Tribolium castaneum: one gene and its partner. The protein of the gene in region 1 interacts with the protein of each later gene in a biochemical or structural test. Links are inferred from orthologs where the notes say so. Each region holds a gene or a part of one and is shown in the gene's direction. Other genes may lie near its edges. The genes, in order: sli and robo1.

The links.
Region 2: the proteins of sli (region 1) and robo1 form a complex in vitro, tested with the Drosophila melanogaster proteins (2 studies listed by BioGRID). The link is inferred for Tribolium castaneum from reciprocal best matches to the Drosophila melanogaster genes sli and robo1.

The regions. Positions count from the first base shown.
Region 1 is NC_087397.1:863,150-866,981, forward strand, and holds part of sli (protein slit), read left to right. Parts: intron 1-581; coding exon 582-817; intron 818-961; coding exon 962-1,106; intron 1,107-1,226; exon of another isoform or gene 1,227-1,356; intron 1,357-1,883; coding exon 1,884-1,955; intron 1,956-2,002; coding exon 2,003-2,074; intron 2,075-2,125; coding exon 2,126-2,197; intron 2,198-2,249; coding exon 2,250-2,321; intron 2,322-2,368; coding exon 2,369-2,440; intron 2,441-2,490; coding exon 2,491-2,654; intron 2,655-2,778; coding exon 2,779-2,929; intron 2,930-2,975; coding exon 2,976-3,122; intron 3,123-3,171; coding exon 3,172-3,315; intron 3,316-3,362; coding exon 3,363-3,526; intron 3,527-3,572; coding exon 3,573-3,777; intron 3,778-3,830; coding exon 3,831-3,832.
Region 2 is NC_087394.1:23,702,549-23,706,380, forward strand, and holds part of robo1 (roundabout homolog 2), read left to right. Parts: intron 1-1,950; coding exon 1,951-2,217; intron 2,218-3,832.

The DNA.
Region 1 (3,832 bases):
ATAACTACAGTTTGGAATTTTTAACACAAAAATGACACCAAAATAAGCATAAAAAAATGCTCAAAAACTGAAAATATGCCTAAAAATATGCAACAGGTGGAAAATTTCAATATAAGTTTCGTCACGTTCCTACAAAAATGTCCGTTGTGAAGAGGTGTCCGTTATAGGGAGGTGTCCTTAAAGGGAGGTTTCACTGTATTTTGCTAAGTTTTCACAAAGCTATGGGTTACTTAATTTCTGATTTGTATACACTTAACAAAAAATATTTAAAGTCAGAATAACATAAAAAAAAATCTGTTCCCAAGTTTAAAAACTAAATCGTCAGGTTAGTTGATTTGGTCAAAATTTCCAAAGGCTCGAAATAGAGCCAGTGCACTCACGATTAATAACAATCATCAACCATGCAAGTTGGTACATAGGAAGACACATAAACGTACAAATTGCGCTCTAAAAATAATCGCGCCGACTTCACAGAGAGCGCTCATCGCCTTGAGAAAAACTATCAAAGTAAAATCGCACAGCGTTCCTCCTCTTTGATGTCCACTGAATCAATTTTAATAAACTCAATTTACTGTCAACAGGACTCTAAATAACAACAACCTCACATGGATCGGCAAAGATATGTTCAGTAACATGTTTCGTTTGCGAACATTGCGCCTCAGCGACAACCTCCTCCACTGCGATTGTCAATTGTCGTGGTTGGCGAGATATTTAAGACATTCGCCACGACTTGCCCAATACACCAGATGTCATTCACCCAACCATCTCAAAGGACAAAACATCGCCGATCTGCAGGATCAGGAATTCAAATGTTCCGGTGAGTGGAACGCCGCCGGGTTAGGCAATCACTTATACAACCAACCTGTTGATCGACCACGCATTTCTCACATTCACTCCCTCGCATTTTCCCACAAATAAAAAACCAAACTTTTTTACAGTTTCTGAGAAAAAAATGTTGCAGGTTTGGCCGAACGTGCCATCAATGGGGAATGCATCAGCGAGCCCGAATGTCCGCATCCGTGCAGATGCGCGGATGGAATTGTAGATTGCAGGGAAAAAGGACTGACGAAAGTTCCGGATCATCTTCCGGAAGGAACCACAGAATTGTAAGGACTATCGATTTGATACTTCCAGCGCACGACCCGAGATAGCGCTCGCTGCTTCGTCTCACGACTAGAATGGGGACGCTCTCACGTTTATACACGAGGAGCGACCAAGCGAGTTCAAAAAAGGGTGCTTGCTACTTTATAGCACATGAGGCTAACCGCCTCGTGGGGTATGGCAATCAAGACATACCCAGCACATAATTTTTGGCCACGTGGAGCTGTTTCTTGGCATTGTTCCAGAGGCGCTCCCTCTAATTTAATCAAACATTTTTCCACAAATCAGTAAATAAAGAAGATTCCAATTATTATTTTTCATAGATATTACAGATTTTCTAGAACCACATTTTTCAAAATAAAATAAAACCTCAAACATTTTTTTCATCAAATAAAACTGTGAACTTTTTTTTCCTCTTTTCCAAAATTCAGAATATTTTCCAACAAAATATAGGCTAAAGTAATGAACAGTGGATTTAAACCACTTTTTAGCAGAAAATGTAAGTTTTAATATTGAAGATTTTTGCTCGCTTCTGCGGTACTTACTCCATATTTATATTATTAATTTATTACAAAAAATAATCGTGCCAAAAATCACTTGCAGTGCTGTTTATTTATGTTTCTTTCCCTATTTTCATCGTTATAAAGCAATAAACTAATAAGATAATCCCCTGTTTGATACTATTTTTCGTCCAGAGAATAATTATAATTGCTCTGTACCCCAATCTGTACAAAAATAAACTTTTGTGGAGCATTTTCAATTGGCACTACTGAATTTTTCAGACGCTTAGAGCAGAACGAAATTGTGGAAATCCCGACGAAAGCTTTCGCGGCCCATAAGCGTCTGCGGCGAATGTAAGTCAGCAAATCCAATCAGACTTTTTCTCATCAACTTTTTTCAGAGATTTGAGTAACAATAAAATATCAAAAATAGCATCGGATGCATTCCAGGGATTAAAAGCGCTGACCTCCTTGTAAGTACTTAATAAAACGAGCAACATTCTTTTAACAATCACACTTTTCAGAGTTTTATACGGAAATAAAATTAAAGACCTCCCGGCTGGAGTTTTTCAAGGTCTGGTTTCGCTGCAACTCCTGTAAGTTAAATCACATCTAACGAACTTAATTACGATTTTTAATTGTTTTCAGTCTACTAAACGCGAATGAAATTACGTGTATAAGAAAGGACACGTTTAGTGACTTGCACAGCTTGAGTCTACTGTGAGTGAACGAGTTTAATAAAACCAGGGAAATCAATTATTTTTTAGGTCGCTGTATGATAATAACATCCAATCGCTGGCCAATGGCAGTTTTGATTCCTTGCGAAGCATCCAGACACTGTAAGCTAAAAAGTTGAAAGAACACCCGACTTGAAAAAATATTTTTTCAGCCATTTGGCCCGGAACCCTTTTATATGCGACTGTAACTTGAAATGGCTCGCCGAATATCTCCACCGAAACCCAATTGAAACTTCTGGGGCGAGATGTGACACTCCAAAGCGGATGCAAAGGCGCCGGATTGAAGCCTTGAAGGACGAAAAGTTTAAATGTAAGGGTAAGCACCTCCACTTGATTAATTCAGTGGCGATGGTGTTCATTTTTTAACCTTCCATACATCACATTATTAACATATCATTGCAATTTGTTGGCTGGGTTATGAGAGGAAATTGCGATTTTAGGCCAGGAAGAGTTTAGGACCAGATTTGCAGGAGAGTGTCTCATTGATAATGCGTGCCCTTCTGGCTGCACTTGCGACGGGACGGTCGTGGATTGTTCCGGGAAAGGGCTCAAGGAAATACCACGCGATATTCCAGTCTACACAACTGAACTGTAAGTCACGTAGAATTAAATAAACTGGGTTAAAAATCTTTTCCAGTTTATTACACGATAATGAGCTGGGACGAATCAAATCCGATGGGCTTTTTGGCCGACTTCCGAACCTAATAAGACTGGACCTTCGGCGGAATCAAATCACCGGAATCGAGGAAAATTCATTCGAGGGAGCTTCCAGAATTTATGAATTGTACTATTTTCACATAATCCAACTTCAAGCTTAACCAATTTATTTCTAGATTACTGTCGGAAAATAAATTACTCGAAATACACAACAAAATGTTTCTAGGACTCCACAATTTGAAAGTACTGTCACTTAATAACAACCAGATTACTTGCGTCATGCCGGGCTCTTTTGACCACTTGACATCACTCCACACTTTGTAATTTTTTCCAAAAAAATACGACTATAAATAAATTTGTTTTTTAGGAATTTGATGCAAAATCCCTTCATGTGCAACTGCCACCTGGCGTGGTTTTCCGACTGGTTGAAAAGTAAAGGTCTTAGTGGGTCTCCACCGAAATGTGCGGGCCCAACAAGAGTCAAAGACGTGCTAATCAGAGAACTGCCCAAAAATGAATTCAAATGCACAAGTAAAAAAACTGAGTGATAAAAACCAAGCACTGATTTTGGTTTCAGGTGACAATGATCAGGGATGTTTGGGTGAAAATTACTGCCCCCCTAAATGTTCGTGCACTGGGACTGTCGTGCGCTGTTCAAGGGCCAAACTGACCGAAATTCCCCGGGGGATTCCCCCGGAAACGTCCGAGTTGTATTTGGACATCAACGAAATCACCACAATTCAAGCGGACCGGATCAGTCATTTGAAATCACTGACCCGACTGTATTTCATTTTTTGTTTGAATTAATTTTGTGCTAATTGGATGATTATTTTAGGG
Region 2 (3,832 bases), on another chromosome or scaffold:
CACGCAATTTTCGGTCTAAATTGCTGAAATTTCGGCAAACACGTGTTTATTTGTTTGAAAAATATTAAAAATAATACATTTTTGACCAAACTTTATGCTTTTTTGCCCTCTTTTTGAAGAAACTTTGATTAGTAGAAACGCGCTAAACCGAACAAAGCAAATCAAACAAAGCTTTGGCACGATCTTGTAAAAGTAAGTTCAAACTTACCTAAATCTCGCAAAATAAACCAAAATAAAATTGATTTGGAACAAATTTTGTGATTTAACTATCATTGTTGGCAAAATTAATCGAAAAAGTTGTTTTTACCCCAAAAATGTGCTTGAACTTTTGAAAAAGACAAAATAACACCTTTTTCGACTTATTTTGGTAACTTTCTGATATGCTTTTGACAACATTTTGCGAAAGAATTAGCTTCCTGTCTCCAAAATATGCTAAAACAATCGAAAAGAAGATATATAGTACTTGACTTAATTTGGCGTTTTGGTCTTCTCTAGTGAAATCTCGCAAAAAAATTAAGTTTTTTTTTGCTGAAATTCGTTTCGAAAATTTTTTATACAATTAATAATTTCTTCAAAAACGTGCTAAATCGAAAAAATACAGCTAAATTCAGTCGATTTCGATGTAATGTAGTGACTTTTCAGCTAGGTAACAAAAAGTAACAATAACATTTTGTGGTTTTTGGTTTATCTTCGATGCAAATTCTTAGAAAAGTGATTTAAAGTTATTAAAATACCACCCATTTTTTTATAAAAATATCCGTGTTGAAAACACGGAAATTTTGCGATATTTTGAGTCAGTTGTTCATTAATAAAATTTGGTAAATGATTATTGATTAGTAAAAGATGTCAACGTTAATAACATATGAAAAAATCAAAGTCGTACTTTTGTAATTTTGTGAAATCGAATTTGAAATTTGAAATTTTTTTCGGAAGTGAAGTTTCAAATTCGAATTTTAGTAACTTGGACCTTTTTTTTTAATTATATTTATTGAAAAAAATAGCTTAAAGTAAATAGAGTTCACACTATAATTCGCAAAATGGAATGGAATGTACTTAAAAACGCGTAATTTCTTGCGTAAACTGGACGATCACGTACATTAAATACTGTATCTCCTAAAGAAATAGAGATCCCATTTTGAGACTTATAGTGTAAAATCTAGATATTATGAGCTATTTTTTAAAATAAAAATAAATTAAGAAAAAATGGTCCAAGTTACTAAAATTCGGATTTAAAACTTCACTTCCGGTTTTCTACACCAAAAAATTTCAAATTCCAAATCTGATTTCGCAATCAAAAAAACAGAGAATTTGCTATGTAAAACACTATTTTAAATATTTTGGTATGCATTAGCTTTTTAAATAAAAGCTTCCAAAAACTCTGTGTCTCATATTTTGTTAAATTTTTAGAAGTCAATATCTTCACATAAGTGTCATACAAAAAAATAATTATGTATTTACAATCATACTTCCTAGAACAATTATCCCGAATATGACCGAATTTCAAGATCTCAAAGTTATATCTTTGTCTACTTCGTGTTAAATGCCCCATTTGCTAAATATCTGACCAAACACATCACTTTTCCGCTACGTTCTTGAAGTTGAATTTTTGTGGCTCTAACTGAAATAACGACCGAACCCCACAATCCGCTTTGTCCTTTGAAGCGGCTGAATGTAATGCTTTATTCACAAGTCGGTTGGCCGAAGGACTACGGATCGTGCGGTCCCCAAACCTTGAATTATTAAGCCATCTTTTGATTAATTTAAACGCGAAATTTAATTACTGTGATTATGGTGGCGGATACCGATACATTATTGAGCGCTTCCGCCGCTAGGGATCGATTCAATCGCCCAAGTTTTATTTTTAGGCGAGTAAATAACACTGTGAAAATCCCCTAAGTTCCCTCTTCATTTTTATTTACCGCTGGCGTGACTCGCAATTTATCGTTGCAGTGAAGCCATTCTTCAATAAGGAACCCCAAGACGTGGTGGCCCTCCTGGGCAAGAGGGTGGTGTTCCAGTGCGCGGTGGACGGGGAGCCCGTCCCCAACGTGCTGTGGCGGCGCGAGGACGGCAAGATGCCCATCGGCCGCGCCCGCATCCTCGACGACAAGTCGCTGCTCATCGACAACGTGCAGACCTCCGACGAGGGCATTTACATCTGCGCGGCCGAGAACGTCGTCGGCAGCATCACGGCCAAGGCATCGCTCGTCGTTAATTGTGAGTATGGAGGACTGTAGATTTGGACACGAAACGAGATACAAAATCGCGCGATTTTCTCTACAGCAGAGTCAAAATGCGGGCGCTTCTGACGCTATACACTTTCGGCGCTAAACGTTTTAAATTAATTTATATTCAACCGGTTCACTAATTACTTGGAAAAAAAACTGAAATGTTGAGCTTTGCATTCTAAATGTTTGGACGAAATCTCGTTTTATTTTTATTTCTTAAAACGACGCTTTATTTGTAAATTGCAAGGATTCAAACGTTATATATTTTTTTAAATAGATAACTACTATCGAAGTGTTCTATTTGTATTTTTGTCTAATTTGAAAATCAGACCATTATTATTGTGTTATTTATTATTTATTTGGATTATTATTATTATTATTATTATTATTGTTATTATTATTTATTTTATTATTTATTATTTATAATAACTTATTGAAATCACTTATTAGAAAAAAATGCAATTGATGAAATTTACCCACTCGAGGTTGGCAACTAAATGTATGGACGCTAATAAATTTAACACCAAAATGGGCTTAACAGAGCTGTCTAATTTGCGATTCTGATAATGAAAGTCGTTTTTAACGTATGGCTTACCACTTGATACAAATATTTTGTTCCAAAATGTCAAGAAGTTTTTATAAAATTATCATTTCGAGCGTCTCTTGCAAAGAGTTCCATTAAAATGTGAAGAAAAAACGAATTCAAAGGACGAGTGCAGATCAGGGCAAAGAATATTCTTAATTATTGGAAAAATCACATTTTTTGTTTTGGGGCAATTTCCGTGGGATCGTGTTGGATTAGGTAAATGAATTGAATGCAAATTATTATATTCTGTTCCGGAGAGAACTCATACGCAAAAAAAACAATTTGGAAGATAGAAAATTATTATTGGTAGACAAAAACTGTAATTTAAAATAAATAATGCAAATTAAAAAAAAATTGTTTTATTATTTTCACGACATAATGTAACCAAAATGAAGAGTACACAGAGTTAATTTTTTTATTTATACAAATTTACAAATTATCTTTGCAACATTTTGTATTATACCAGTTGATCTTTTTAAAGATAGATCTTTTTTTTTCTCCAAGTTGGTTCTAAGATTCTAGTGTTATCCATTTTTCACATTTTTAATAAAATTTCTTGTTAATTTGGTAAAACATCACAAAAATACACGATCTGTCACTGTCACTGTTAGTTTATGGCGAGATTTTTGTCGCTGTTATTTAACAGAGAATGTTACTGTAGAAATGTTGCTAACAGGAAGTAACAGAGTTGACGTAATAGGAATTTAACAGCTAGTAATAGAGCAATAACATTGTAATAGAAGCTAGAGAATAGCACCATTAATTTCATTTCAACTGCTAAGTAAATAATAGTTATTTTCTAAGCAAAATATTGTAAATGCTAAGTGGTGGTGTATGTTTAAATAAAATTTGCTATATTAAAATGCCAAAGTCGCATTTTGTCTCAAAATTAGCTGTTATAAATTATTCATGAACTTCAAAAAAGAATAGCTAATGTAATTTGTAGTTTCAATAAATGATCTAATCATTAATAACTATGTATTTTATAATTTTATCAATCTCATTTGTAGGTATTAAT